2 linked regions of the Oreochromis niloticus genome follow. The protein of the gene in region 1 interacts with the protein of each later gene in a biochemical or structural test. Links are inferred from orthologs where the notes say so. Each region holds a gene or a part of one and is shown on either strand. Other genes may lie near its edges. The genes, in order: gli3 and sufu.

Region 1 (16,053 bases):
ACCATCTCTCCCACAGCTAATATTTCACTTCAGCTCCCAGGCCCACAGAATGAGAGACGTTTCCATTTCATGTCAGTCATTTCCAGGCCTGTGTGTTACCTGTGTGGTGATAAGTGTTTGACTGACTGGGAGTGTCGTTAGTCACTGTCCGGCTCAGAGTGACAGCCACAGATTGACGCTGATGATGAGAGGAGGAGAGGGCCCGGTGTGTTCAGGGACGACAGAAAAACCGGGGTTGATGCAGGGGTGGGAGTGGGTGGAGGGGAGGAAAGACATTGCACACTTATAATGATGAACACAAAGCCATGTGTAGACATTCAGTGCACGACAAGGTGTATTTATTTGCAAAATCATGCTTTGCATAATTCTTGGCTCTCATAAATAAAATCTGCCATTCTTTTTAATGGTGAACAATTACTACCAGTTACACTTGTTTATTATAATAAATTAGATGTATCAAGTTAATAACTGATCTACCTGTTTGGTAACATTTTAATTTTCTAGAGAAAAATTTAATTTACAGATAATCTGACATTAAATGCAGGAATAGGAAAGACAAAGCTCCCTTTTCTATTTTTTTTTACCAGTAAAATTTCAGTTTAAGAAAGAAAATACGGTTAATTTTCAGTTTTTAGAGATAAACATCCAATTTTTCTAATTAAGTGCATATTAAATATTTTCCACCCTAAATTTACAGAATCCTGTGGAGGAACAATCCTACAAATTCTGCATTAACTCTAAGTATCAACTACTTTATTACTCTTGCTTGCTGCAAAGGTTGTTACAGGATAAAATGCAACTGGAACCTTATTCTAGTGATTTCTAATCAACATTTTATGTCCACATTGGGGCAGGAAACAAATCTGGCCCTGCAGCAAAAAATATTAAGCACCCTCTTATTGCAGAAATTAGCTTTTTCGTCATAATGCTTCACCTATGTAAATTTTTATGACTGTCTATATTGAGGGCTCATGCACATGCCAGTTGTTGTTACCACATACGTTGTGATATTATCCACTGTGTGGAGAGGAAAACCTATCCACTGTTCCTCAAGTAATAATAGAAGTATCTCACAAATGAAATTGTAGTGTAAATGCATGCCACTGTTTAGCGTCTGGGATTAAACATCTAATTTGTAGCGCAACACAGACAGGTTTTCTTTTTCTTCTTCTTTTATTTTATATGTTATATATATACAGTGGTAACACCTACATCCTCGTCTTCACGTGCAATTTGACTTTTCACGAATAAAATAAACGCATTTCGGTCATCGTTTTAGTTACCAGCTCCTGTGCTGCTGGCCACTGCCGTGCAGAAGGTGTAAGAGATGCAGTGAGGATGTGGTAAGCGTCTACACCTGGGCTCAAGTCTACACCGAAACACCTGCCACAGCAAAGGTAGTATGGAGAGAGATGGGTTGTGTTTAGGTACATTTCACAGCTCTGATCTCACCACTACTGAAGAGCAAGTGAGACAGCACAGAAGATCTGACGTTCTCCAAGAAACGCAGAACACAGATCTGCCGTGTCCCCTGAAAAAACTGTTTTCTGTTTAGATAAATAACAACTAGCCCCGGCACGCATGCCTGAAATTGTTGCATTTTCTGTGTTTGCTGAGGTGAGTGTGTTGAAATCAGTTTAAAAAAAAATTATTGTTCATAAAGGGACTTCAGCAGTCGTGGTAAAAACCATGTCATGTACAATACAGCTCATGATTCAGTATCTTGTAGAACCACCTTTAGCAGAAGAAGTGATGGTTGTCTGTATGACTTTATCAGTCTCTCACATTATTATTGTTATGTTGTTTCTTTTTGCCATGGCTGTGAGCTCATTAGAAAAATAAGAAAAACAGCACTTTTAGACAGTACTGAGGTCATTTTCCAGCATTTGCCATTCATAACATTGTTGATGTCACACAATTTAAAGCTGACAGACAACAGCAGTAAATACTAACATTCATCCATCTATTTTCTTGCACTTATCCTTATATTATATCCTTATATCCATTAATTATTGAAAAAATACATATTAAAACAATCATATTTTCCCGAGTTATTAAAGAAAACCTCCTTACTAGCAGGTTGTGTTGTACTGCGCTGCTCTCTTCCTTCTTATTCTGTTATACATGATACTATACAGTGCTTAGGTGGTAACCATTAGTAGCACACTTCTTTTTTTAAAGCATTGTTGGGTACTTTGAGTGCACTTTATAGGTTAATAATGTATATTAAACATTTGGATAATACTATCAAATGGCAAACTCACTATACAGTGAGTACAGCTTACATGTCTGTTTTGTTTACCTTTTTAGGCCCCAGTTTAGCTGAAAGTGGGGTTTTTGGAGGCAGCAGGTGCAAATTGAAAGCACAAAATTGACATATTTAATGCTTTTTGTGTTGAACTTAGTAACCAGGTGCTCATTTAAACTTCAAGCGCTTGTGCGACAACAACAGCTTTTATTTAGAATCTAGCTATCTAGCGACTGTGTGTGCTGTTTGATGCCTCTGTGGTGAACAGCACAGTTTTGGAGCATTTTCACTGAAAAGAGCTGCCTGCTGTGAGAGTGCTGAGTGTGAACCCAACGCATTTTTTTTTTTACGCATTGATTCTGTTTCACAGCGTTTCTAACAGCTGCCACTTTAATATTCACTTTTGCACTCTTTTTGCGGACAGGGGAAATATGTATATTGAAAATGAACTCAGACTGTAATTGGTTAGCCCTGAAGAACAAAATAGGTTGTAGTTTGGTTAGATTTTAGTACAGCAAGTGCAATTGTGAGCTTCTTTGCTTTATCATCAGAATCTGCTGACTTTAGCTGCTACTTTGACTGCTCTCTTATTTACAAGGGAGACATGACTCGGGGTAGCTCTGTATGTTTGCTTTGGCAGGCTTTTTACGCCGTATACCCTTCCTGACACAAACCCAAAGATCTGTGTCTCATTTGAGTCTTAAACAAAAAGAAAACTAGAAATATAAAATTGTACAGTTAACTGTTTTGTACTTTTTACTTTGTGCACATGTATGCTTGATTACTGCAGTGCTGTGCAAACATCTAGCTTGAGCCACCCTCATGTCTTTATATTTCATTTCCACCGAGCCAGGCTTTCTTGTCACTTTTAAGGAGGTTTTGAGGAGTAGTTCTCCAGGCTTTCTGAGTCCTTCAAAAATTTTCTTTGGGCAATCTCATTTTAAGTCCAGTCCTTGCTAAACCACTTAACACTGAGTTGTGAGTCTTTTGAGCACAACAACAGTATTGCACTCAACAAATGAACCAATAGATGAGTAAAAGAAACAAAAAAAATGTATCTTTTGACACTTTGTTACTGACAGTCTGCTAGAAAAACACACCGCCTTAGCTCAATCTTTGAAGAATGCCCATAAGGGGATTCCCAGACTTGGCACATCTCTCCATAGGGTGCAGTTTGTCCTTAAAATGTTTGAGGAAACTGGACAAATGAAAGACAGAAGAAAAATGGCTGTCCTTAAAAAAAAAAAAGCTATCTGCAGCAGATGACAAGCATCTGAAAGTCATGTCCTTAAGTAACAGGGGGGAAAAATCCAGCAAAGACCTGACACAGGACCTGAGAGATGCATCTGGCTCTTCAGTTGATCCATCTGCTGTTCACTGAAGCCTCATAACAAATCGTCTCAGTGAGAGGGTGGCTGTCAGGAAGCCATTCTTAAGGAAGGCGAACAGGGAAAAAAAGGCTGAAGTGTGTAAAACTACACAAGAACCGCACTGAAAATCAGTGGCAACAAGTCTTATGGAAAAAATTTTGATTCCACCTGTCATCAGTGTTTGTGGAGCCATGTGTAAAACATGGTGGGGGCTCTGTCATGGTTCGGATTTCAGCCAGCGGTGTTGTAGATCATCAGTAGATCAAAACTGATGGGTGTATAAATACAGAAATGCACCATCAAGTTTTGATCCACCATGCAATAACATCTGGAAAACATCTGATTGAAAACATCTGATCTGATCTGATTGTAAAACTATGTTTGCTATAAACCAAAATTATGGAGGATATATTATCAGTTATGTAGCTTTAAACCATACACATGCCTAAATAGCAGCACTAATCTCTATATTCATATGGTGGGCATGCACAAGATGTTTCTGCTGCACTCTTTAATCAAGAATTTGCACAAATCCAACAGAAAGGAGAATATTGCATAAAAATATTTTGGTGAGAATGAAGCCAGCACTGGCAGTACTTTATAATATAGCTCAAAAATAAAAGAGAAGTAAGAGTAAGAGCAGTAACTTGTTACATTACTGCATTTTGGACCAATGTGATTAGTTATGCTTTGAAATTTATTACAAATGCCAGCCCTGTAATTCCAGCATTTTCAATAGGAATCATGCACTAAAACAGTGGAAAGGATGATGGTTCAGGTATCAGTGAGGACTGATGCTGGGAAGCCTTTCTAAAAGATGAATTACAACAGCATTGTTTTTACTATTAGTCTCACTATGGGCAAAAGTGGAAAAAGGAAAAAAAACAGGAAATAATAAAGCACTACAAGGCCAAGAAGTTCAATCTCTGGACATCTCTGGAACATGTTTTCACCCTCACAGTCTCTACTCGTGCCTTTTACCGCCTCTTCCAAAAGCGAGGCAGCAAGCGGCGAGATGGATGGGCTGAGCGTTGCAAGATTTCCAAAAGCGAACAGAGTCTGACTGCTGCTCTACCTGAGGAGCAAAAACAAAAGAGCCATCTCTACCTGTAGGACTGTGGGAGTCGAGGCTTTGATCTGGACCAGAAAGAGAGAGTAGTTTGATGAAATATTGATGCTTTTTTTTAACTGTGTCCTGTGGGAGCTCAGTCTGCTCTCAGGATGTGTGCGCTGATCCACAATACCGCTGCGTGCTCGGCTGTATGAGAACAGACTTGACCGTGGAGCTCAAGGAGTGTTATCGGCCCTAATGGGCCCGATGATGACCCCCCACTCTGGGCCTGAATTGGTCAGGGGCTTCTTCTACTGATCAAAAGAACAGGTGCATTTAATCAGTCAGCACCCATTGCAAAATACATACACCGCTGATATGTGTCTGACATCTAAACAGAAGCTTGACAGCAAACCTGCACAACGTAAATCTTCATTTGGTGATGGACGGGTAATTGTTTGCCCTTGAAACAAAGGTGCAACAGCTTCAGATGTGCATGCAGTGAGCGCACAATTAAAACTGAATAACAGTGTTGGAAAACTGTTTTTAAATAGCCGGGGATTATTCACACTGAGGCTGTTTTGGCCGAGCATTCAAATACTTATTCAAAGCAAGCATCGTGTAATATCCGACTGGATGCTCGGAAAGTTTGATATAAGCTTGTATGAAAGTGACCCATATTCTTCAAGCAACAACGTCGGGAAAAAAGGAAAAAATCAGAATGTTGATAAATTGCCTAGAGTGCTTTTGTCTGAAAGTTAAGAGGCCAACGAAGCCCAATCAGCCTGGAAAAGAGTGTGAAAAACGAGGATTCATCACTCCCATGCCTACGTCCATGTACAGATAGACGGCGGGGCATAATGACTTCTGTGGAAATAGCAGAACGATTATTTAAACTTAAAGGAAGAGGAGAAAGAGGCAGAGAAACGGGTCGAGTGGGGGGGGAGGAAAGACAGGGTCTTAGGAGGAGCCAGGGGCAGGAGATAGTCTGGGAAAGGTCTCGCGTTAAAGTAGAATTAACATGCCTTTCCATTGGAGTCCATTAGATAATCATATTCATACCACACAAGGCTCCAAAACCTCTCTCTGTTTCATTATTCCCTTTTAATCCAGCCTGATAAGGGGGTGCAGGCGTCGTGGTTTTATTATGTCGTCATTTGGAATCCACATGAAATCCCCACGGGATGTTATCACAGGGAAATTGCTTAAGTAGCCCAAGTGGATATAGTTTTGGGTTTATTATTTCTGACGGATTCAAAATAACTGCAAATATCATTTTTTCCCCCCGATTATTGGGGGCTAAGAGTCTTATCAGTCATTCACACTAATGGCCCACTCAAGCCACCCAATACCTTCCGGCAGGGGGGAAAAAGGAGGGATGCTGAGAGGAGGAGGGGTGTGAGGGTGGGGGGGTTTGGGAGTGCTGCGTTTGAGAGTGTCCTAAGTGTACAAGTGCGTACAGGTACAGTACATGTGAGGAAACTGAAAGCAGGAAAAACAACAACACAAAGAGCGACTGAAAGCGGAGACTTCTGAACAAACTAACATGCTCCTGACGGTAGATTAGAGGCTGCTGGCGTTCTCCTTTGCGGCCCCCAGATCTTCCCTGGCAAACAGAGCAGATGTCAGATTGCTCCTGTCGTTTGTGGTTCGGCACATTTGTGGTCTTGAGGAAAGCAAACACTTTGATTAAATGCATTAGGGCCTTTATTAGACAGACACTACACAGGGAAGAAACACGAGGCAGGAAATATATGGGCAAACAAACCTTTAATTTAACCTTTAATAATGAAATATGTGTAATTATTAAGTCATGAGGGATAAGGTATTCATGTTTACAGTCTTCTTTTTCTGTTTCTTGTTACAAAAAACTCTTGTGCAAAGTCAAACGAGTTGTCAAAGCAACGCTGAAGCAAGATCGATTTTCTCTGCTGGGAGTTTTTAGAAGTTTTGAACATTATTGCAGGATTTTATCAAACTATCCTAAGCTTCTGGAGTCACAGGTTAAAAGGTCAGGCCACTCAAAGCAAAGGAAATCTGTGTTTTTGCTCATTTGCATGTTAAGGTACGTGTCCATACACACACATTTCGCTTTTATACGCATATATTTTTGAGATATATATGGCTCCTCAATAAAGAATAACAGTGCACTGAACTCCAATACTTTGAAGGAGATATAGGGTACCCAATATATAGACCTGGCACTATATACTGTGATGTTTGTCTTAAACTACACCGCTGATGGCTTATTGCTTTCCCTTTAATATCTGCAATTAAATATTTTTCCAGAAAGTGCAGTGTTCTCTTCTTGTAATGATAAAATGGGCAAAAAAATGATGTTTGACTGGTTTATATCAACATGTTTGATAATATGTATATTTTTAAATTTCACTCTTTTTGTAATTATTTTCTTATATTAGGTACAACATGATAAAGACATAAATGCCTGGGCATGGAGTAAAGAACTGAATAGTAAGTTTTGTAACCAAGTAGCCACCAAATGCCTAAGTCTTGGAGTTTAGTGTTAAAATGTTTTCCTTTAATATAGATGGGCTGGTTCCAAAAGAACTGCTAGCCCTTATTTCCATTAGAGAAGATTAAAATACTAATTTGAGAGCATAAAAGGATTTAATAACCTGCACTTTGTGTCATGTGTAGGCAGAGATCAGCAGAGATTTGGTTGCTTAGTAAAAACTTACTGACAACTTTACTCACATTCAGCTCCTCACTACTTCCCGCCTGTGTTTGTCTACAGCCGAAAACACTTCAGATACTCTGTAATCTTATTACAACTTCTCCATTTTGCAGTAAACAGTACAGTCGCCCCTGTCATTCCTCTGTTTCTTGCAGCCGCTCCATTTCCAGCGGTCACATCTGTGTGGATATAATATGCTTATTCTGCTGTATCCATTTCACTGTGACATCTGTCCAGCAGAGACGAATTAAAGGCCAAAAAAAATCCAAATGCCTACACAACACTCTGCCAAGTATTGATTTACTGTTACATGTGTAACATACAGTACGCGGACAAACCGAGCGCTACATTTTATTTCAGTGAGATCATCTGAAACTGGAAACACGCTCTGCGGGGTTGGTGATTATTTGAGAAATGAGCCCAGATGCTGATCTTAAACGCACGGCGCTTCTTCTCGATTGTGAGCCGGTGAAAAGTAAGACTGGGTGCGCAGGGATAAGATGTCTGCATCCCGCGTGTGTGTCAGTGTGTGTTTGTTTGTGAGCACGCCCGAGCGTCCACCTTAGTGAGCGCACCTCCCTGTCTGTAGATCTCAGGGTCTGGAACAAACAGTAGTTCCTTCTTAATTGGGGTGAGAGCTGGGGCTTAAAGAGGGCCAAGAAGGGACCTGAACCCCTTTCTTTCTCCTCCAGAATCGCTTTGGCTACAGAGGCGCTTTTGATGTGTGCTTTGGCTCTGTGAGTCCTACTTTGGAATATGTTCTTGGGAGACCATTGGTTACTTGCCTCCAGGCAGAATCTCAATCCCCAGGATCCTGGCCCTCTTTGATGAAATACTTTCGGGAGCCGCTAACCCCACTGATGCCCATGTGCACCTCCTCCCTCCTCCTTTACCCTCTTGTTCTCCCCTACCTCGCCCCCATCCTCTTTCCACCCTTCACCCCCCCCCCAGCCTCCCACCTCTACTACCACGTTCCTTGGATTCTCTTTGAGAGATTCATAACAAGGACTTTATCTCTGTGTAGTCCGGGCCAGATGAGCACCGCCTGACAAACTGACAGGAGAATTAGCGGCTGTCTTACAGAGCACCTTTGACTGTCTCCTCTCTCGGCCCGACTTCCTGTAGCTACAGACGTGAGCGTTTTCTATTCATATTCTCATACTCCATTCTTGTGCACGTGGAACACTTCTATATTTAGTTTTATGACCTCTTAACCTTGTTTATTTTGTCTGTTTCTCTTTAAAATAATAACTAAACATAAATATCTTTTAAGCATTTTTATGGATGCCAAAGAAACTTGACACCCATGAAAACCAATATAGTCGTTCACACACTCATCATAGTTCACAGTTTTGTCACCTTGCTCCACACTGACATCCGAAATCCATCTTCACATTGCGACAAAGTCAGAATCTCGACACTTTTAACGATGACAAAGACGTTGACAGTTGTGACAGAAGATCCTGAGCTCTGATTGATTGGGCAGTAATTAGTCATTGCCGACTTTATCAGCATAATAAGTGTCAGGAAAGTGATTATAAGGCAGCCTTAAAAGACGGATATTTGTCTTTAAATCAAACGGTTTAGTCATTTGTCACAGCAGCCGATTGGATGTGTGTTACAATGAGGAACAAATAGACTTGACGGACCTGACCTCTCGGCCACACACACACATTCAAATGCTGGTTAAACGGTTGATTTTCCTTCCCAAACTCCCACCTCTTCATTGATTGAAACTGCACCCTAAAGACCTCTCTTACCACATAATTTCCCTGTATATTGATTATGTATATTGATTACACCTAACCCTACAGGAGGGCTTCCCTCTGCTGAAGCATTAGTAGGTATGACTCTGAAGGCTGAGCCCAGGAGGCTGTTTTAGCCCTCATAAATCTGCAGTTAAATGTATGTATGAGTTTCTACATAACAAAGTGGGTGTTTTCAACTGAGATCTATGAGATTATTTCAGTTTCTTTTAGTTAAAACTTGGATCCATTTAACTCTTGGTCCCTAAAATGCAGTCATTCATGCTTAACCTGGACCTGTTTTCCTCTTCTTCGTGGTGTAAGGACTCAAACTTGAGTTTTATTTTGTTCTTTCTCTCCTCTAGGTTTATTTCTACTACAGAAATAGTACTACTGAGGAACAAGTCTTTAAAATGCTTACTAAGGAAGAAAGAAAGAAAGGGGTAGCCTGCACAAAATAAAAAAGGAGTAGGCAGTGAGTAAAGGAGGGAGCAATCCGAAGGGAGGAGTCAAGCGAGGGAAGGAGCAGCTGGAGTCCCACACTTCGCCCTCACTCTCTCTCTCTCTCTCCCTCTTCCCGAAAAAAACCGCTCTAAATGTAATAACAACTCTCCATGCGCTTCTCTGACGCTTATGTTGTTTTTACGCACATCTGCGGTCTGCTATCGGCAGATATTATCGGCAGGCTGATGGTGTTAGTCCGGCGGTGGTTGAACACAGCAAACTGTGAGAAGGAGGAGAAAGACAGACAAGAGGAAAAAGTCTGGCAGCGCCGTTTTGGAGTTGGAGTTGCAGCGTAAAAAAAAGAAAGAAAGAAAAAAAAACTCCCAGGCAACTCCAGAGGCACATCTGCAAGTTAGGAAGAGGAGAAGAGGAAAGAAGACAAATCTATATATTATATTTTTTTTTTTTTGCCTGAGAAGATTTTTTTTTAAAGTCGAGAATTAGAGGGGAATTCACCCAGAGAGAAGTAAGTAATCTGCTGAAAGCTCGCGCACACCGCACACAAATACACTTTCTTTTTCTTTCTGAATATTGTTGCGCTCGTTTGTCTGCTTTTAAAGTTGAGAAAGCCACTCAGAGTTTGTGAAGCAGCGGAGGTTTCATATTTCAAAACGATGGAATTTCATACAAGTTCAGATGTAGACGTGAAGTGCACCAACTGCGAGAACAGTTTATGAAACTAGCGAAGAAAGCCTCGATCAGGGACTCCCCCCCCCTCCAAAAAAAGAAGAAAGAAAAAAATACAGCCGTAAAAGCGTAAATGCACCACTGTCTGTTTTACGCTTGGCCCGGCTGTGATTTAATCTCTGTGAAAGAAGCGTCGGTTGTTAGAAACCCCCGGATGGCAGACTTAACAAGTATCCACCGCAGACAGATGTGCATTTTCAAACCAGTTGCATAAACTTTCATATTAATGAACAACGTGTTTTTGTAAAGTTTAATAAGACAGAGAGAGAGGGGGAAAATCACTCTTAGAGTTTGGAAGTGAAACTTTATTGGACCTCAAATAAGCGCGCGCGGGGGTGTGGTGTATAGTGGCGTGGGATGAGACGGGGGGGGTTCATATATATGTGCATTTGTGATCATATTTCAGGATCTGTTATTGATTTGCTTTAACAAGTGAGAGACTCGGGGAAACACTTAGTGACGGCATACATGTTCAACTTTTTATTTCAATCCATCCAAAACCTGTGGCTGACCCTCCCCTTGACCTTTGACCTCCCCTTGCTTCACTATCGAGCACCGAGTCATTTATAGTTTTGTAAAATTTAATTAGCTGAAAACTTATAACTGGAAAAACTCCAAAAAAAAATTGACAATAAATTATAACATTAAAAAATTCCTCATGAAATTATTTTTAGTTATAAAAAAGGAGAAAATTAAAGTATTTGGATGATTTCATATAAATCTTAGTTTTCCGTGTCTGCATCTGCTAACCTGATGGAGTTAAAGAGGCTCTCCAGAGCTTCTGACAATTTGATTTGCGTTGGAAAATTTTTAAAATGATGTTCTTCCCCTCAAGAAAGAACATATTTAAGCGTACATCACAGTGTGTTTGAAGGCATGCGCATGTGCTCAGAGAAATTTAAGCCCATTACACTGAGGTCTGTGGCCCTGCGGGGGTCCATGGGGGAGGTTTTATGGGGGACCCAAGCAAAATTAAATATAGCATAAATCCTCTGTATTTTAGTTGATTAGAATTTATTAGTATTTAAAAGCTTGTGGATATACTTTAAATGCAAGGTGTCATTTAAAAAGTTACATCAATAATAATAATTATAGAAAGAAGAAGAAGAGTAGAAAGCTCTCACATGGGCTTGTGCAGATTTAAAAAAATGTGGGAACAGGGGAACAGAAGTCTGGTGTGTTCATTTTGGGGGTCCAGGACATGAAAACGTTTGGGAGCCCCCCGCCCTCGAGCGTCCACATGTGCAGATATTTGTTTGAAACTTTCCCTCCTGTTCCTCGCCAGCTGTTCCACATTTTATCTGCTTGTCTGCTCTCGGGTTTCATACAAACGACGAGGGTCCGAGGTGCTCAGCCATGCGGTGCAGCTCAAATCCTCCCTTTTTTTGTGAGTGTTGTGTGTGTGGGGGGGGTTTTTTTCTTTTGGCACATGGCAAATTATTAACGGAGGTTTGGCCGCCTTGAGACGGAGCAGCGAGCGAACGCACGCGAAATAAGATGTTTAACAGTTCACACAGATAAAAAAAAATAAATCTCCTTTCGGGTGTTTTTTATGAGGTTGCTCTCATCATTCATCTTGTCTGAGGATTTGGCTTTGAGCGGGGTTTTTGCAGGTCTTGGTAACATTTGTCCAATAAAATAAAATAGGCACTGTCACATAAACTGTCATTTAATATTTCCCCCATTCTATTTTATTAATAGTAACAAAATAACATTCGCAGGGCCTGAAGCTGGAAAATTTACCACTGCACTCAGTTAAAAAAATAAAAGCAGACAAGTCAGGCCTTAAAAGTCTGAAAATTTTAGGCCTAAGCTTTATTTTAAAATGACAACTTGAAGACAATTTATAATTACATTTTTTTTGCATACATTTATGCATTTTTATGGCCTGTGACTTCTTAATTAAGCGTTTTGAGACGATGCCTGTAATTAAAAATATTACACTGATAAAAAATATAGTTGCCTGTATATCATCATAGGAGGCCCTTGTCATTTTATTTTCAGAGTATAAGACATCACATTTAAATTTGGCGATTAATCAACAATTCAGTGCTGATAGATCAAAATATGTAACATTTTTAAATGGTTAAATCAAGTCAAAAATAATGGCTTCAATTTCTATAGTTACACAATAATCTAATGTATGTAATATATATTTTCCAAATATCTAATAAATAATAAATAATACGCAAGGAAGTCCATGTTGTGAAAAATTGTAAATGATAAATCTGCACACTGTCTGTGTGTATATCTAATTTTGCTGTTGCTGCTTTTGCACGATACTATCTGAAAGTGGTGCACCTTTTCCAAATAAAGGACTTTGTCTCATTACAATGCAGCAGCAAGGATGAATGCAGCACTGTTTAAGATGCTAATCTTCTGGAATGAGATGCACAACTTAGAGCCATTCGCTTACTGTAGCCAGGAAAGATGTATCGTTGCCGCTCTGTGCTCCATAACTCCACGCGCGAGGAAAAGGCGGATAACGTTTCCCTCTGCAGGAATCGGTCCGTCAGATATCAGCGGCGGCAGCATCAGCGTGCCGCTTTATCTCAACTTTAAGCATTTCTCTTTTATGCATGGGGACGTTGGCCCAGGACACCTGTGACCTGGTGACCTGGCAGAATAGGAGATGTCATGTTAATGCAGGGAGATGACGTGCTATTAGCTTTTGAGGTATGGCCTGCTCCTCTTTGTAAGGGCCTTACATTCACAGTTACAGGCAGTTTGTGTCCTCAGGCCTTTTTCACCCTGTTGGAAGTATACCTGTTATCAGGTTTGTATGCAAGAAGCCCTAATGAGCTGTTTTGTTGTGCTAATGCCACAACCTGAAGCACTCAAAGAGGTGGCAAATGTTTTGTTAAAACGAGGGTAATGTGAGGGAAGTTGATTATCCGTTAGATAATGAGCACAGATGTGAAGGTTTTGTGTAATCGTGCTCGCTTTGTGGGTTTTCCTGCAGGTTGCTGTTGGTTTGGTGATTTTTTCTCCCTCGCTTTTTTGTACTTTTCCTAAAATTTCCTGTTTCCTGAGAGGATAAAATTGACAATTCTAAGTTTCATTCTATGTAATAATAAAAATCACCTGACCAGGGAAAGTTGGAGGGATTTCTTGTAGCCTACATTGTGATTAGCTGTTGCTTTCCTTGCATACGGCTGGCGTAGTTGAATAGATGGCCCCCAAAAGAAATCTCTTACTCTCTTACTTTGATGATTTGGTACTTTGATATGTTGACATCAAATGAAACAGACACAGTGGGGAAAGAAAGAGGACAAGTCAGACAGAGGTAGTGATTGAGGGAAAAAAAGGCTGTTCATGAGAGCGGGTGGAAATGTGTGTGTGTGTGTGTGTGTGTAAGTGCAGTTTGTGAGGCACGGAGGAGTGCTCTGAAAACTTGGGCTGAGACAGCAAACCTGAGGAGCGTCAAAATGTCTGGATGCATTTGCGTATGAGCATAGACAAGAAGGGGTCTTCGGGTGTGCGAGGGCTTCTCCTTGGCCTCCTAATCCCCAGGCCCAGCCATCCCTTCAGGGCATGCCTCAGATCTGGCTCTCTGGCTCTGTGCGTGGACGACCCAGCTCCGCCAGCAGATTTAATATGCTATGTGTTCCTGCTCCCCCGGCTCCCCTCCACCTCAACCATCATTGTCCCAGAGCGGGACCCTCACTCGCTGTTTCAAGGAGCCTGCTAAAGGCACCTTTCAAGCCAAGGGGTGATGTCTTTGGATAAGTCGTATGGCGGGGAAGGAAAAATAGTGATGAAGGCGATATGAGACTCGAGATGGGAAAAATGTAATTTCACATATGTATATGAGTCGCATTCAGGGATTGTAATTCACTTGGGTCTTTGGTAGCCAGCAAAAACAGTCCTACTCTGAGTGCACATGCATTCTCGTGCTCATTCACACTCTTATTTCTCTTTCTCGCTCTCTCATTCATACAGTTTTTTTTGTTTTTGTGTGTGTACTGTTCTCCTTCTTACTGTCCTTTTTTGTCTTTTAACTGCATGAAAAATAAAAAGGAAAAAAAGTTGGAAAAGTTTTTTTTGCTATAGCTTTCGTCCTTTGGAAACTCCATTTGGACCTGACAATTTGCCTCCCAGAGTGAGGTGAAGAAAACGGCAATAAAAAAAAATGGTGGGGGTGGGAAAACATTCACATAAATTTGAATCAAGTGGTTCGGATTTACGGTAGATGAAGCTGTGTTTGACAGCTCAACATAAGGCCTGCTGTAGGAGACGGTAAATTTTATTGCGGCAGAAACGCAGGCTTGTGTGCGAGGATCCAGTGGTGTGCCAGCTCGTGACTGGTATTTTCTTTTCTCACACACTTTGGAAGAGAAGCGGGACAGGTCACGCCTGCGCGTGACTGCCGCTCATCTCCTCCTCTGTTTGCTGTAGCTGCTGTAAAAATGTCTTTAAGTCCGCCGCGTGAAGTGTAGCAGCGAGAGGTGAAGTGCTTTTAGTCCGGGGGCCCATTTGTTTGTGTGTAAAGTTTGTGCGCCTAAAGAGACAGTTTCCTGGGGCTCTGGGGTGGTGGCGGGTTTGGTGGGGGCTCTTTCTTAGTGCAGATGTGGCATTGTGTCAGCTTTGATGGGAGCCGGTTGTGGCATCCGTGAGGGGGTCTGTGCTTTCTTGTCAAGGGTGGCGATTGGGAGACAGATGAACTGGCCGCTTGCTGTGAACAATGATCCGTCACGTACCGCTGCTTCTTGATGTGTGGGGCTAGGCTGCACCGAGGCATCAGTTTGGGCACTAATTTTTTTTTTCTCTGCCATAACTGTTTAAACTGAGCACTGTATAGTGCATTTTGTTGCACAAAACACCTGCCCTCACAGCAGTAATTAAGTTATGTGTTGTCATGCAACGATGCTCGCCCTGTGTGTTTGCAGCCCCGTGCTGCTTGTAGTTGTCTTTCAGTGGGAGTTATCGCCGAGCCTTGGTGAGTCCCCGAGTGGAGGTCAAGGGGGTGTCTGTTGTTTGGATGTCACATGTAAATCCCAAGGTTAATACCTGAAAGAAGCGCAGGCCCAGACATTCTCTTTGCTCTCCAAACATGTTTTAGATGAGTACCTCTTTACCCGCTCTGCCCCCTTCGTTTCCGTCTGCCGTAGACTTGGGGCAACTTGGAAAAGGAGGGGCGTGGGGGGCGGGTATCCCGAATAAACCCCTTTAGTGTGTTCTTTTCAGTAATGAATGCTAACAGACTCTGGCTCTAATAATGCCTCATCTTGGAAAAACAAAAGGGGAACTCTACTATCTGAGCAAATTTCTACCCGAACCTGAAAGAGCCCTCCTTTGACAGCGCAGCATTTGAAGACTAATCGTTTTTTCTCATGCAAAGCACGCTGTTTTAAGAGCCCGGGCCACGGAAAGAGAGGGGGCTGTGTTTTAACAATACTCCGCAGGGAGTGAGGAACAGGGTTCGGGGAGGGGAGGTAGGGTTGTAGAGAAGAGGGGTGGGGGGGATTCCTCTCTCCTTTGCTCCTCAGACAAAGCCCGGTTCCTTTCAGTTTTGCATGGGGGGTAGGGTGCGTGGAGAAGAGGAGGGAGCATCCAAGAGTTTGAGTTCCTTGAAAGAGATGGACTTGAGCCGTTTTTAATGACAGTTTGTCACCGTGGCCTCTCTACTTTCCAGGGAATTTGTTGGGCTGGCCGTGCAGTGACAGGCCTGGAAAGAAGCAGGCCTGAGAAAATTTATCGAGAAACAGAAATATTAACGTGTACATGGGGCCCTAAAACGGCTTTGGCTATTC
Region 2 (15,695 bases), on another chromosome or scaffold:
TTGGGGGGTTTTAAAGACAAGCAAATAGAAGGATTTTTTTCATCTGCATGGCAGCTCTGTCAACGTTATATTTAGATAAGACTTAACATTAAATCAAAGTGTAGAATAGTTAAAAAAAAAAATACATTATTAATTTGTGAAGATAAACCTATAGAGGGGCTTCAGTGTAATGGTTAGCACATTCCCTTAACAAACCAAAGGTTGGTGGTTTGATTCCAGCGAAATGCACAAATCCTCTTTGGGGTTACCAGTTAAAACATCCCACAGAAAAAGAAGCCAAATCAAACATGCAGCCCTAAACTCTGCGGTGACCCCTTGTGACGAGGGAGTAGCCAAAGTTAGCTTTAATTTGTAAAGATAAACCTGTCTTATGTTAAAGGTGATAAAGGTGAAAATCCATCCTCACTAAAACACACGGTGTTCAATTAAATGATGCTGTAAATTCTAACAGCATTTCTAACAGCTTTTTAAAAAAAGCAATAAAACTTTTCAATTTTGTGTGCATCCACTAGAGAGCGTGGGCTGTTAATCCGCTTGTTAACATTACAGGATAAGGCATGTTAAAGCGGAAACAATCCAAACTCTTGAAGTACTGTGTGATTTGTTATTGTTATGTCTGACACCAAACTTCTGAGGTATGCAACAGACTTTACTGGCATTTTTAATCTAAACTGTTCAGCTCCACTGGGTTACTACATGAGCATTTACACCTACCAGTCCAGAGAAGCAAACGTCATTTCAGTCACGGTGACTCACATGGCTGATGCATAACATTCTCGTGTTTGAGTGATTTATCAGTCAACTGACCTTTACATCATTATTACAAGAAAACAAATCACAGTGGTAAAAGCGTACTACACCTGGTACACACACACAGAATTGAGTAAATCTTTGTTACAACATTTTAATAGACTAATTAACTTTAAACCAAAGAACAGACTTTTATGTTTTAATAACTGACATTGTTGCATTTTATAGGTCCCAAAGAAGATTTCGCAACATTTATGTGCAGATCTTAGCCATTCTTACAGTAACATCAAGCCATCCCCCATTTTCAGTGTAATTGTCAAAGCGGTTTTAACATCACCACTAGTTATGACATATTTCCATCTTTTTTTCTGCATGCCCCACTTCATCCATCCATATTTTGCTTGAAGCAAGGTTGTGGAACGGCTGGTGCCTATCCCAACTTTCAGAGGGCAGGAGGAAGGGTGCGTTGTGGAGAGGCTACCATTCTCTTACAGGGCTAACATAGAAAGAAAAATAACTACGCGTGCTTGTTTTTACACCTACAGCAAAATTTATAATCGCCAATTAACCTAACATAAAACTCCACGCAAAGCCATGTGTGTGGAGTTTCAAAACCAGGACTTTCTTCCTGTGAGACAACAGGAAGACAGTTAACCACCACGCTGCTGTGCCGCCTGTGCTCCACTTCAGAAAACAAAAAACGTTAGAATGCTACTTACCAAAATATTTGTTACTCATTAACACTAACTTTAATAAATAAAGCTGTGTTTTTGTGAAAGGATAACAGAAAACTCTTGCTTATGTTCTTTTCATAAATAATATTAATTTAGTTTATGTTAACACTATTTTCCCCCTTAATTTGGTAATTACTAGTTAGATAATCAACAAGTCACAAGTGACAGATTTAATGAATCTCGTAAACCTAAAGGTCCAAAGGTGTTGTGGTCATTTAAATCTGACAGTGCTAAAAGTTGTTGCCTCAAGTGGCACATTTTATTGCGTATGTTAATTATACTTGAAGCACTGATATTATTAACATGAAACACATGTTGTCTTTGTGGTTCCTTTATTGTCTATTCATGTCACAACTTGTGACCATCACCCACATACATTGCTGAGGGAGTGGTTTTATTATCAACTGTGCATACTGCTTTCTGTTTGCAGGTAGAGGACGGCGCCAAACCAGCACAACCAGTAAAAGAGGCCAGCGAGCACTTTCCGCCATCCGATCCACAGTTCCTCCTTATGGATGCCGTCTTTGAAACGGTTACAGTTGGAACTCTTCCTCCTCTGCACTTCCTCAATGAGACCGTTTTTGAGAAGACTGCCTCAGAGAGAGAGGACAGCGAAAAAATTCTTTCACGCACAGCAGAGCAGAAGTCTGACCTCATCTCTGGTGTGTACGAGGGAGGGCTGAAGGTGTGGGAGTGCACGTATGACCTTCTGGAGTTGATTGAGAAAGATGGAGAGACCTTTGGGGGGAAGGCGGTTTTGGATTTGGGCTGTGGCGCAGGGCTGCTGGGAATACTGGCTCTGAAGAGGGGAGCCAGTCAGGTCCACTTCCAAGATTATAACAGTACAGTCATTGAACAGCTCACAGTGCCAAATGTAATGCTAAACTGCCAAGAGGATGATGAAGTAGACAGTGAAGATGACAAAGAAGGGAGTGGTAAGGAAAAAATGAAGGAGGAAGATGGTTCTAAAAAGAAGGCAAAAGGGCAGAAGGAGATTACAGAAAACAGCCCACCTCCTAAGAAGCAAGCCATAGACTTAGCCCAGCACCCATTACTAACCAGGTGTCATTTTTACTCTGGTGACTGGAGCACATTTCTCGCTTTGGTTCTAAAGACAGATCCACCACCCAAATATGATCTTATATTCACATCAGAGACTATCTACAACACTGCGTACTACCCTGCTCTACATGAGACCCTGCACAAACTGCTGGCACCAGATGGTCTGGTCTACCTCGCCACCAAATCCCACTACTTTGGTGTAGGTGGTGGACTACATCTCTTTGAAACATTTGTGGAGCAGAGGGGTGTTTTCTCTGTGGATCGTCTGTGGGATGGAGAAGAAGGACTTCAGAGACATGTGGTAGTACTGCGTTTTAAAAAGTCAAAGGACGCTTGAGTAAGGAATGTCAGGAGCTCATCGGTTTTATCTGATTTATTGATGAAAAACTGAATGAAAATAAAAATTAGAGCAAGGCTATTGCTTGATTATTGTGTGCAGTCCTGAATCAGCCAGCTGTGTCGTTATGACTCCTGTCTTTATTTTGGTACGTCAAAACTGCCGTGGTTAAACAAGGAAAAACTGCAATAAAAACACAGTCTTGGCTCATATTTGCTCTTTTGTTACCTACACCTTCTTTCACTTCCTATATCGGAATTTGAATATGTCTGCCAGTAACTGAAGTGCAGTTGAAAGGGGCTGTTACAGGTCTTTAGATGCATGGAGAGGAAAGAAAGGAAATGGGCTCAGTGACCTTTGCGAGTGATTTCCCCAGTGTTCAAACACCAGCATGAAAGCCAGGCTTGTTTCTGAAGTCCAGCACAAAATGTCAATTGCAACTTATCCCACCAGCCCAAGGATGTAGTTTGAAAGTGGATTCTGGAGTCACTGAACATCAATGGTGGGACTCTATGGGGTCTCTGTAGCTCTTATTTTACTGGTTTCCTTTCAGTGAAGTTCACTACATAATCTGGCAACAGTGCAAAATTTAAAAAAAACATTTTTGAAAATGTCTAGACATATGCCTATGCAGGAAGTATGGGCAAATATCCATCCAAAATCAAGAAAGGGAATTTTGCTGTAATTTTTCCATCTCCGTGTGGAATCCCCTTTTTGTCCAGCTCAAGGAAATCCGTCTACTTTTTTTCGAAAAGGGCTTTTTTTCTGGGGAAGTATGCCTCAAGTCCAGACCAGTTTCTCGCATTTGAGGTGACTACATAAGAGGATGAGGAAGTCAGAGGGTTTTCACAGGGTCATTCGACAATGAAACTGAATAACACTGCCTGATGTGTTGTTCTGAAATTGTCATTTTAGCCTGCCGCCCCGGTCTCATCCGTGTGACTAAATACAACCTGTACGTGTGTCGTGTTTGACTATGATCGGAAAGCAAACAAAGGTTCTTTTATAATACAGCCCTATCAGACCCACCTGAATAAATGACTCCAGCTACACAAACATTCTCAAGAATCAATCTCATCCTAAACATACCCGTGACGTCAGCACTGTAGAGAGACCCGCTGATAAAATAATATTTAGCAAAGATTAAGAAAAAAGAAAAACTTCTAGGAAACATAATGTCACCAGCTCTAACATGACTGTGCATTTCAACACCCACAGTGTGTGGACAGAATTTCCAGCGGCTTATTATGTAAATATACTGTAGTGTTAAATGCTATTTCACTCAGAGAAACATAAAATACACCAAACATGGTTTCTGTTTGCATATGCCTGGCCGGCAAACTTCCACTGTGTCCGCTTCGTCATCGTCTCTCATCTCGACAGCTGTTCAGGGCCTGTGGGGGAATTCCTGGCCCCTCCAGTAGACACAGCCTTTCCCCTGCTTACTTTATGGGAACAAGGGGGCAGGGCAAGTCAGATGGTTTTCCTCAGAAACTATTATGTGTTGATTCACTGTGAGGGGGCGTGTTTTACACTCCCACTGCTTCCTTCTTACTGGGAAGTGACTGTCAGGCTTACCGTACAGAGGGAGTGTATGAAAAACAGAGAGGAGGGAGGATGATGGGTGATGTGAAAGGTGGCAAGATATTTAAGTGCTTCTTTCTCTGAATGTCAGACAGTATGCTGCATCCATCCTTGGGACCTGGAGGACATTGGGGAGCGAGCAGAATGTGCAGGTGATTTGAGGAGGAATGTATATTTGCCGAGTTTGAAGAAGCCTGCTGCTTTCTTTCTGGTGAGATGGGACTGCGAAAGTGTGTTTTTTTAAAGCTTGACTATGAAATAATCCTGGGAGGCCTTTATGAGGAGGTTTGTTTATGACATAACCAGGATCAGGAAAGGAAATCAATGAAACCAAGGTAAGTATATTAAAAGAAAACTCTCAGTATGGTCAAATCGAGTGTGTGGTTTTCAAAAAGCTTATAGAAAATGACATGTTTTTTTGGGTGTGTGTGGGGGGTGTTGAAAATTTTTTAAATAGGTCAAAGAAATGCTAACTTCTTCATTCTTTGAGCAAAAAGCAAATGAAGGCTTTTAAACCTGCCACACTGTGAAAATTTTTTGATGTAGACTTTTAAGAAACAGTTAATGATCTCATAGGGGATTGGCCTTGTCTAGTGATAGGCCGTAGAACCGGTTGTTTCCCAGTCCAACTGCCGGAAAGATATGAGTTTCCTGAACATACTCAGGTGTGGCCTTCCTTCGAAAGTTCATCGTGCTGTACTGTACCTTAAAAGAATGCACCATCATAATGGATAAACTGCAGTGATTGAGATAACACAGACAAATTATCTTCACTGTATCTTCACTGTCAATATTGACTCCAGGCCTTGGGTGGTGGTGGTGGGGGGTTTCTTTCTTTTTCTCTTGTTAAATAAAAGAGGAGAATCAATTACAGTGCAGGTCAGTTAATATCAAACTTACTTTGCAGGGTTCAAAGATACGTCGACTAACTGTATGTCACTAATCACACGGTCCTAAAGCGCTTTTACTGGGAGTGTACTGCTGTAACTGATGAGTCATTTCATGCCTTGACCAGAGCACTATCACCACGATCTGATTCAGTGCTTCCAGTGGACAGACTTGCATTTCAGTAGTTTTGAAGCATTTCCAGGAACACAGATGAAAAAAATAAAAACCAGCTGGATTGCTCAAATGATCCTGAAACTCTCCATATGTTCTCTAACCACAGAATCGTTTCCATTCTTTTGGAACTTGTTTCCCACTTTACTTTCATTTTCAACTTATATAAAAACACCTCTTAACCACTGCACATTAACAGCCATTTTTTTTTCTTCATACGCCACTTTGTTAAGCAAATGTTAAATGTGACTAATCCCTTCAGTTACCACAGTAATGACCTCTTGCTCAATCTTACACTGGAAGAAGTACAGCTGACGTTATCATTTCATCATTACCCAGCCTTTCTTCAGAAATTGGGATCGGTAACCTAACCCCAACGTGCTGCTCAACATGTGTCACTTAACTGCAGCCCACATTTATTGTGAAGTTTTTAGAGTTAACTAATTTTATTATTCTTATAGTTGGCTTTTTTTTTTTCTTCGTTTTTTCATTATTTAATGGGAGATTTAATGAGATGTGAAAAGAGTTAGTGTTGAAGTATGAGCTGTGTAAATCAATAAAGTCATTCAAGGATCCAGAAGTGCCCGAGGAACAGATTTTAATGTGTGCTCTACTATGAGAACTGAATTCCATAGATGGTGACATCTTCAGGTGTCATCTATGGGCTCAGTTCTTCTGGCATGGTACTAGTTTGTCAGCCGTACAGCACAGCACCAGACTGCCGAAGTTACCGCCGTGTGAAATCAATAAAATAATGCTTGGTGTTACGTTTGTATGGAGATTCCTGTGAATGATGAGTTACTTTTTAATTGCACATATTATTGCTGTGAATAAAGCATACTTTTTGAAATGACTAATGTGTTTCTCAGTATTATTATAAAGTGTCATTATGTATTGTTAATAAACCCAATCAAAAGTCAACCATATTTGTGGGGATTTTATTAATTAATAGCAATTTTTTAAAAGGAAAAATTAAGGTAAAAAGTACGTCAGAAAGTTCAAGAGCTGCTCTGCTACGTATTTAATGCTAACATAATTTTACCAGCTCTTGCAGCATTTCGGCATTATTAAGCTACAGCCATGTTAAAGTTAAAAATGTTAAACACACACACACACACACACACACACACACATATATATATCTGTGTGTATGTGTGTGCGTATGTTGCCTCTCATAAAAAAATGTATGTTTTAACTCCAACATGGCTATAGCTTAATAATGCCAAAATGCTGCGAGAGCTGGTAAAAGTATGTCAGTATTAAATATGTGCTTTCTTTTTGACTTAATTAATCGGTAACGTAAGTTTTGCCTTTGGTGCAAAAATCTGAAGTATAACTTACAAAACACCACGTTTTTGTGTAGTCGTTCAGGACGGGAATACTCACCTACATATATTGTAGTTATGACACACCAGAACAGGTTTAAAGCAACTCATTTCTGGTATCAGCGTTGGCAACTCAAGTTAAATTAAGCAGTGTAGTGTTACACTTGGTGGGAATGAAAGAAGTACGCAATTTCTATAATACTATTATCACTAAATGACATTATGATGTGGGTCTTTGTAACCAGCACTGAAACAGTAAATATCAAGTGAATCATAGTGCTCACAGGGCTGCCACATCATTACATCTAAGCTACATTCAAAACGAAAGTGTATTAGCTATCTTTTCCTCTTCTTATCTACGCCCCGCATAAACCATGCCCCCTTTTGTTAATGCACCGTCCTTTTTAGTTTTAATTTGTGCCATTTGCAATGGAGGCGTTCTCTCAAAACAGCTCCCAGATGTGTCTCTGAAAGTCAGTCTGGAAAAAGCCATACACTCTACACAAAGTCTTTTGATAATGTCTGGAAGCGTCATGACAGGACAATACATCATTTCCAACCTCACCGAAGAAATCTCCCATTTTGGTGTGTGTGGGGGGTGGGTGGGGGGTGAGTCCTTCAGGCTATACTCGTTTCTGGGACTTGTGCCACAGTGGTTAGAGTGGGACTGAAATCATGGAGAACATACTATACTAGATTTGAACCAAACTTCACTTGGATTAAACAGCATCACAGGATACAGTTCTTTAGGTTGTTATATAATATGTAGCAGTAGTTACTAGTGTGACACTGCATGTGATAAGGCACAAAGAACATATGTGCAAAAAAGGTTGCCACCTCTTAGTGATGAGGAATCTTTAGATAATGTATTTACATTTATTTATCACTATTATATACAGCATTACTATGCTATAACACTGTGTTTTGTCATTAATGCATTCACTCTATTGAAAGAAATGCTTATGTAATGAACTTGGTGTTTCTTTAGAAATGTAATAGCTCTTTGGATTCATACTTTTTTCAAAAAGAAATAATACTTCCCTCCCTTCTTGTTATCATTCATTTAGAATCCAGGAAAGCTTCTGAAATGAGAAAAATCTTGAATAATCTTTAATTACTATTCACTGGAGATGTGCACTTTCATAACAGATAGTCCAGATTATGCTGTGTTATAGCCCTTGATATGTTTGCATTTTTATTCAAAACATGGAACACACAGTGTAGTGTCTTAGTGACTGCTCAGTCATGGTCACATCTTAACTTGTTGGCCTCTTCAAAGTAATTACGTTTTTCAGGCTGATTTTGATTGAAATCTCTGACTCTAACTGATAAAGTAAACACTTTATCAGAACAGTAAAAGTGTCTAAACAGTGGGTGGATGGTTATTGCATGGGCGTAAAGCGAGTAACTACTTTAAACACGTAAGTTGATTTTAAAGGCACGTCAGTATTTCTGTTATATGATATGTTTTACCTTACCTTAGTTCACACAAAACTAATTACTTTTGGAGACTATCATTTTACAGGACATACAGATTAAACAGTAAAAAAAAACAAAAAAAACAACCCAAAACGTTTGAATTATTTCCATTTAACACATTTAACTGCAACTGAAAAAAAAATCCTAAAATTTAATGCAAGACTTTTTACAAGGAAATAATTTAACAAGTAACAGACAGTACATACTCTATTTGAAAGGTTTTTTGCTGGTTATATTCTGTACATACACGTCACATGGGAGTTAAAGGATTTTTTTTCTCAGCAAAGTATTTGAATGAGTTTCTACTTTTTTGTTGGCTGTTTTTTGTTTTTTTGTCTTTTTAACTACCTAGCCATAATTTGCCTACTTAAAAACGTTAATACCCCAACCCTGAAAGTGCATGTCCCCTTAACTGTTTGATAAGTATCATTTCAGCCAATTACATTTATCCACAAATTCACACAACCGTTATCTTTATTTTCATTGGCTACAATATGCTGCCAGTCACTGACGCAATGGCCTTTCTCCAACCAATGGTAAGGTAGTTTCTTTGTAAAGGATGAGCAACAGGCGACTACCGAGTGGGGCAACAGAAAAGAGTTTATCTTTTGTTATTACACAGCAGTACTCGTCTGAAGCTTTTATGGTTTAGTTTAGCCTAATTTTGAACAAGTGGTAGTTGCCATCGGTAACTGTATATACGTTGTTTCTATAGAGTAACCCGGTTTATTCGAGGTCGTGGCATGGATGAGGTACGGCCTACCAGTGGTGCACAAGCCCACGGGCTGGTGCAGCTGTTTCCTCCTGGGCTGCAGGCTATCTATGGGGAATGTCGGCGACTTTATCCCGAGCAGGCAAACCCGCTTCAAGTAACAGCTATTGTAAAATATTGGTAAGTAACCCATATTGCTGTTTCTCGTCTGACATGCGTGCGGGCATTAAATTTGTACAATACATTTAATCTAATAATGGCTAAATATTAGCCTAGAACTAGCTTAGCTTCCAAGCTAACATTGTAGCTAACCCAACATCCAGAAGCCATACTGTAGTTACTGTTATTCGGAAAGTTTGAGAATTTCTCTTCTAAGCCATACTGGCTTAAATCCAGCTTTTGAAATGTGTCTCACTACGTTTATACGTATAAATGACTTCCATTGTAACCCAGATGTCTTTACATTGGGGTGTCCACTGACAACAATAACAAAACTGTACATGCTTCTCATTTTTTGCTTCTCATAGGCTTGGTGGACCAGATCCGTTAGACTACATCAGTATGTATAGAAATGTAGGTTGTCCAGCTCAGGACGTCCAGGAGCATTGGCACTATGTGAGCTTTGGACTCAGTGACCTGTATGGGGATAACCGTGTTCATGAGTAAGTACTGTGTGTCAGTAACACAAATCTTGGTTTTTAAACGCCCCTCTGTGTGACCGTTTATTGAATGTGGGAAGTCATTTTGACCCATACAATATTTTAGTTATCAGCCCTTTACTAAATGTCCCCTCCTGACCAACTGTGAACTCTGAATAGTTTGTTCATCTCAATAAGTATTTGGCTTTTCACACCCCTCATGCACATAAGAATAACACAAAAGTATAAGTGCTGACATTTTGTCAGTCCATCTTCTCATAAAGTTTGTTTGTCAGATTTACAGGGCCAGATGGACCAAGTGGGTTTGGCTTTGAGCTCACTTTTAGACTCAAAAGAGAGGTGGGGGAGACCGCACCTCCAACATGGCCAGCTGAGCTCATGCAAGGTTTGGCTCGCTATGTCTTCCAGTCAGGTAAGGGCACAAAGCAGTTTTGCAATTTAAAAAAATGTTTGCATGGATAAAGGTCATATTAAAAGACAATCAAACAGAAGAATTGGAAGAGGTCAAAAACTTTATTGTGGGTAGTTTTGCAGCAAAAATATTTGTAGTAGTGAAGTAGTACAGGGCTGATACTAGAGACAACCATTCATTTCATACTAACATTCATGCTTAGGGCACCACCATGCTGCCATCTTAAACAACAGAAACAAACTATATTAAGTTGTGATAATTCATCAAATTGAATGCCTTTCAGATTAAAAAAGAAATGTATTTTCATAAATAAATTTTGTTTTATTTTTGTTGCTTTAAACATTGTATAGAAAATAACTGAATAATCAGCAAAAGACTGGTTAAGTGGTTAAAAAAATAAATAGATCGTTGTACTGTGATGTCATATTTATATCTTGACGTGAGTGCTGTCTTTTGGGATGTCTTTTCCATTCATAGAGCACCAGGTGTCACTCAAAGAGAATGGAAATAACGTGACTGTTATACTATTCCTTTCACTATTACCATATCTCAAACAAGTGTAGCGTCTGTGGGAGATTTTTAGACTGACGTGTTTCGCCTCTTTCGGACATGCTTACCCTTCCATTAATCTTATAGTGTCATGTTGGGTTCATATTTGAATGTGCACCCTGGTCAGTTCGCCATGAAGATTGAAACTGCAGACTTACTGCAATCAGACCTAGTTAAGTTTATATATTGTAAACATGACACAGTCTAAATTGTGAGTTGCATTAACACACACAATGTTATGACTGTGCATGTTGCTGCAGTTAATACCTTTTAGAACTTTCAGCAAAGATCAAAACATTCATCTTTGTTGCATTTTTGCTACATCCGATCTATAGGATACATCTCTGATCAGATCAGTGTGCAAGAGTTTGAAATAGCCGCTGTAGCCTTTTACAGTGGACAAAAAGCAAAGATGGCTGGAACTGAACCACCAACCTTTCACTTGCCACTGCACTGTGGGGCTGATATCATGGTTCTCTTATTACTGATCTGAATAAACAGTATCAAGACAGCCACTGAAACAGAAAGGTAAAGTTATTCCCGAAAGAGGGGATAGCTTGTTAAAAGAAATGCATATCATGGCTCTGGCAGTGTTCCAGAGATTTGAAGAATCTACGTAATGGTGCACTGATACTGGTTGGTGGCACATGGTGGCCCAAAATCTGACCAAGACACTTTGCTGTTTTGTTTTGTTTTTGTTTAGTTTTTTTTCCATTTTGCAGCCATCTGTAAATTCTTGGTCATTCACTTAACAAATTGTAACACAGTGTACTTATTTGTCACAGTTTGTTTGCAGTCTAGCAAATGATTGATCTGCAAAGTTTTAATGTGATAACTCTCTATTGGCCAAGCAAAAACATTGTGGTGTGCCAAAGAATGTGTTCTTTGTAAAGGTAGCTTGAAATCCCAGTGATGCATGTAAACAAGCTTAACTAGAGGAGTCTGCTCTGGGCATCATTTATGTGTGTTGTAGCTCTGGGTATTCAAAGGACATCTAATTTCCCTTTTGTTATCTTTTGCTGTTTTTAGTAGGATTGTTTTCACAAGTTACAAACAAAACAGTTGTGGTAGTGTGAATATATGTACTCTGCATGGGTGTATACACTGTTGCTAAGTTCCTTTGAATCCAACATTTGTGTAAATAATGTAATTTGATAGACAAGAAGGGAGCATGCAGAAAGTTTTTACTCCAGACTCACCTCTACTCAGTCCTTCTCTGCTTTCCAGCTGGGGTCAATTTGTGTGTGGGTGGGCTAGGCCCCTAAGCTAAATGAATGCTGATTCCTGGCCATCTACCCCCCTCTCGTTTCTCCTGAAGCAAGTCTGGCGTGGGCGCATGTTACCTCCCAAACAGTCAGATTAGCTTTGACGGAAATGTAGTTTTTATGGTTTTCTTTCCATATTTGGGTCTCATTTTGACTGTTTTTCCTCTTACTCACGCTACCTCTTTTTCTGATCTGCCTCCCCTCTTCTCATGTTGCTGGACCTTTCCGTCAACGTTTATGTACAGTCAGATGATGAAATGTAGGAAAGTAAGATTGTATGAGCAGCCATGACAGGGCGTCTGCTAGACAAATTATAATCCAATGATTTGTTATTATTTAAAAAATAATGTCTTTTTTTTTCTCTTCACTTATGCAGAAAACACATTTTGTAGTGGTGACCATGTATCGTGGCACAGTCCACTAGACAACAGTGAATCTCGTATCCAGCATATGTTGCTTACAGAAGACCCACAGATGCAACCAATTCAGACGCCATTTGGCACAGTGAGTTTTCTCCAGGTGAGTTTTTAATGTCACTTGTCACTAGTGTAATCCACTTGACAGTAGGCTCCAAACGATTCTGTGTCGAGCTATTTAATGTAAGATTTGCGGTATTGCGTTTGTGTCTCTTTGAGTAGGTTTTTGCTGGGTTATGCAAACTATGTAAACATTGTTGTGAAGTCCTTCAAAAGTCCAACAGCAGAGGATAGCGGTGGCTGTAGCTCAGGAGGTAGAGCAGGTCATTTACTAATCGGAAGGTTGGTGGTTCGACTGGCTGTTCCAGTCTGCATGCCAAATATCCTTGGGCAAGATACTAACCTCAAGTTGCTCTCAGATGCATCGGATGGAAAATGAATGTCTGTGAATGTTAGCTAGAAAGCACTTCCGTGTGCTTGTGTGAATGGGTGAATGAGGCAAGTTGTATAAAGGGCTTTGAGTGCTCAGGCAGAGTAGAAATGGGCTATATAAGAACCAGTCCATTTACATTTTACATAGCTTAATGTCGATGATGCTGTTCATGGCTCACATAGTTGTTGGCTTAAAAGTGGCAGCAGAGTTCAGTGTGAACAGGAGACGCTCAGAAATCAAAGATTTAAAAAAAAGCCACAGACAGGTGGCTACAATGGATGCTTTTTATTCTTTTGTTTTTTTAGCTGATATTACTGCGTTTTTCTATGGCTGAAGGACCAACAACGAAGAGTAGCTTGCAGACCTGTTGTTTGTGACACCGCCCCCTTGTGACGGTAAACGGTTGCAACAGTTGACTGTAGGCAAATGAGAAGAGGAACACAGTATCAAAAATCCATCTTGAATTGTCAGATGATTTTTTGGCAGTTATTCAATATTATGTAATGTTACCCAATATTAATAAAATATGTATGGGGTGTTTTACAACAGTTGGTGTAAAAACCATAAAATTTGTCTCTTGTAGATTGTGGGAGTATGTACAGAGGAGCTGCAGGCGGCCCAACAGTGGAATGGACAGGGTATCCTGGAGCTGATGCGTGGAGTCAGAGTGTGAGTAGAACTGTGTAGCAGGTGATCTGGTCAAAGCTAGTTTTACGTTTTTATTCTGTTGCTTAGCTTGGATTTACACGTAGGTGTTGATTAGTCAGACCCTACGTGTGATTTTTCTGTAGAACTCTCATGAAAGTCATCATTTGAAGTGGAAAGTATAACTTGACTTTAGCATTACACACATATTTTTTCCCTTTTTAGTTCACTCCATATCCGGCAGAGAAAATCTAAATGATTGACCTGCTCAGACACAGTATTTTTCTCGTTTTTCTTTCTTTCTTTTTTTACAGTTGCCTGTAAATGGTCAATCATTGAACTTGTAGGAACTGAGTTGAATAGAAACACCATTATGTGAATGCCACTTTGTTGTAGATTGTGTGCTGTTCAGTTTGAGTACATTGTGAGCAGCAAGTGAAGAGCATAGTTACTTGTTAATGTATTAACTTGGTGTGTTTAACTTGGAGTTAATGCTGACCTGAACTAATGGTGATGCTTTTCCTGTGCACAGAGCCGGTGGCCCCTGGCTAATCACTGACATGAGGAGAGGAGAGACCATTTTTGAAATTGATCCACAGCTACAAGTAAGCTTTACTCAATTCTGCACCATGTTGCTTTTATACAGTATGACATAAAGAGGCATTTTTATGGTCTTTAATTATTTATTTATTTTGTGTTCTGTTTTTGGAAATGTTTGTCATGGAAACGTAAGCATTATCAAAATCTACTATTTTATATATTTTTAATTTTTCTGTAAAGAGTTAAGCTTAGTGTGACTCAAACGAAACCTGTTGCCACTATATAGAAGATCAGAACAAGTAGCACTGTCTTGCGTCCTGTGGCTCTAGAGCAGGGATGTCAAACTCACTGTCAGGTAGACTCTGGCCCCCCAGGCCTTATGTTTGACACGCCTTATCTACAAAAAGCATACAATAGGGTGTGAGCAGGGAAACTGTGGTACTGTGTCAGGTCGTCAGCAGAGGAGAAGAAGTATTTGAAGGTAGTGCAGGACATTTATGAAGACAATGAGACAGGGGTGAGGTGTGCTAGATGGAGTGATAGATGGGTTCAAGAGACCCACTCTGTTGGTGGAGAGGGAGTGGCACTAACAAAAAGACAAGAGGCTGAGCTGGAGGTAGGAGAGCTGAAGATGCTAAGATTTTCTTTGAGAGTGACCAGAATGGATAGGATTAGAAATGAGCATGTCAGAGCAGTTTCAAGACAAAGTTAATGAGGCAAGGCTGAGATGGTTTGGACATGTGCAGAGGAGGGATAGTGGATGTATTGGACAAAGCATTTTAATCTAGGATATAGAGCTGGCAGGCAGAAGGAAAATGGGAAGACCACAGAGAAGGTTAATGGATGTAGTGAAGGAGGACATGCAGAGGGTTGGTGTGACAAAGGAAGATGCTTGTGATAGGGTGAGATGTTGGTAGATGGTCTGCTGGGGCGGCCCCTAAAGGGAGCAGCCAAAAGAAGTAGTAGTGGTTGAAAAGAAACCATTTGAAGAGCTAATTGGTACTGGTCAATGATTTGTTGATATTGGAAGCAAAATCTTGTACAAAGCACTTTAAAGGGAACCTTTTCTTTCCGTATGTTGTTGTTGTTTTTGGTTTGTTTTGCTGTTGCAAGTTTTATCACCTCTTTTTTGCCTGTAGATATTTATGCATCATTTTCATTTCTGAAGAAGTTGACGTTGTGTTTTATGTGAGCTTGTGTTGACGATTTGTGTATATTCCTTGCCTATCTAAGCAGGAGAGAGTGGACCAGGGTATTGAGACAGAAGGCTCGAACCTGAGTGGGGTCAGCGCCAAGTGTGTGTGGGACGATCTGAGTCGGCCGCCAGAGGATGAGGAAGACAGTCGATCAATCTGCATTGGATCACAGCCACGCAGGCTCTCAGACAAAGGTATGCCAACTTCCAAAGAAGCGCATACGATAGATACTCAAGCTGAGCAGAAATGCCTAACCTAATGAAATAATACTTGTTTCTGTCTTTGTTTGTGGGCTGACAGACACAGAGCAGATCAGGGAGACTCTGAGAAAAGGACTGGAGTTTAACAGCAAAGCAGCCCTACCACCTATCAACAGCCAGAAGCAGAGCCACGAGAGACCGCAGTGAGTGTTCCTCCTACACTCCAGCACTCACAATCTTAACATGGGTTCAGCTCAGCACAAGGGTTGCGCCAGGATAACTCCCTCCCTCTTGTGCTGTGACTCAAATCCCCAGTGACATCTGAACTATCATCACCG

What was found.
Region 2: the proteins of gli3 (region 1) and sufu are reported together in a solved structure, tested with the Homo sapiens proteins (2 studies listed by BioGRID and IntAct, with this or other methods). The link is inferred for Oreochromis niloticus from reciprocal best matches to the Homo sapiens genes GLI3 and SUFU.

Annotation. Positions count from the first base shown.
Region 1 is NC_031974.2:14,115,254-14,131,306, reverse strand, and holds the start of gli3 (transcriptional activator GLI3), read left to right. Parts: upstream 1-9,637; 5' UTR 9,638-10,079; intron 10,080-16,053. UniProt on the Homo sapiens protein: Has a dual function as a transcriptional activator and a repressor of the sonic hedgehog (Shh) pathway, and plays a role in limb development.
Region 2 is NC_031978.2:18,907,587-18,923,281, reverse strand, and holds the start of sufu (suppressor of fused homolog), read left to right. Parts: upstream 1-8,863; 5' UTR 8,864-9,073; coding exon 9,074-9,222; intron 9,223-9,569; coding exon 9,570-9,704; intron 9,705-9,976; coding exon 9,977-10,113; intron 10,114-12,303; coding exon 12,304-12,446; intron 12,447-13,359; coding exon 13,360-13,445; intron 13,446-13,953; coding exon 13,954-14,026; intron 14,027-15,194; coding exon 15,195-15,351; intron 15,352-15,457; coding exon 15,458-15,560; intron 15,561-15,695. Other genes in the region: mettl18 (histidine protein methyltransferase 1 homolog), read left to right, coding at 1,915-2,883. UniProt on the Homo sapiens protein: Negative regulator in the hedgehog/smoothened signaling pathway. Down-regulates GLI1-mediated transactivation of target genes. Down-regulates GLI2-mediated transactivation of target genes. Part of a corepressor complex that acts on DNA-bound GLI1.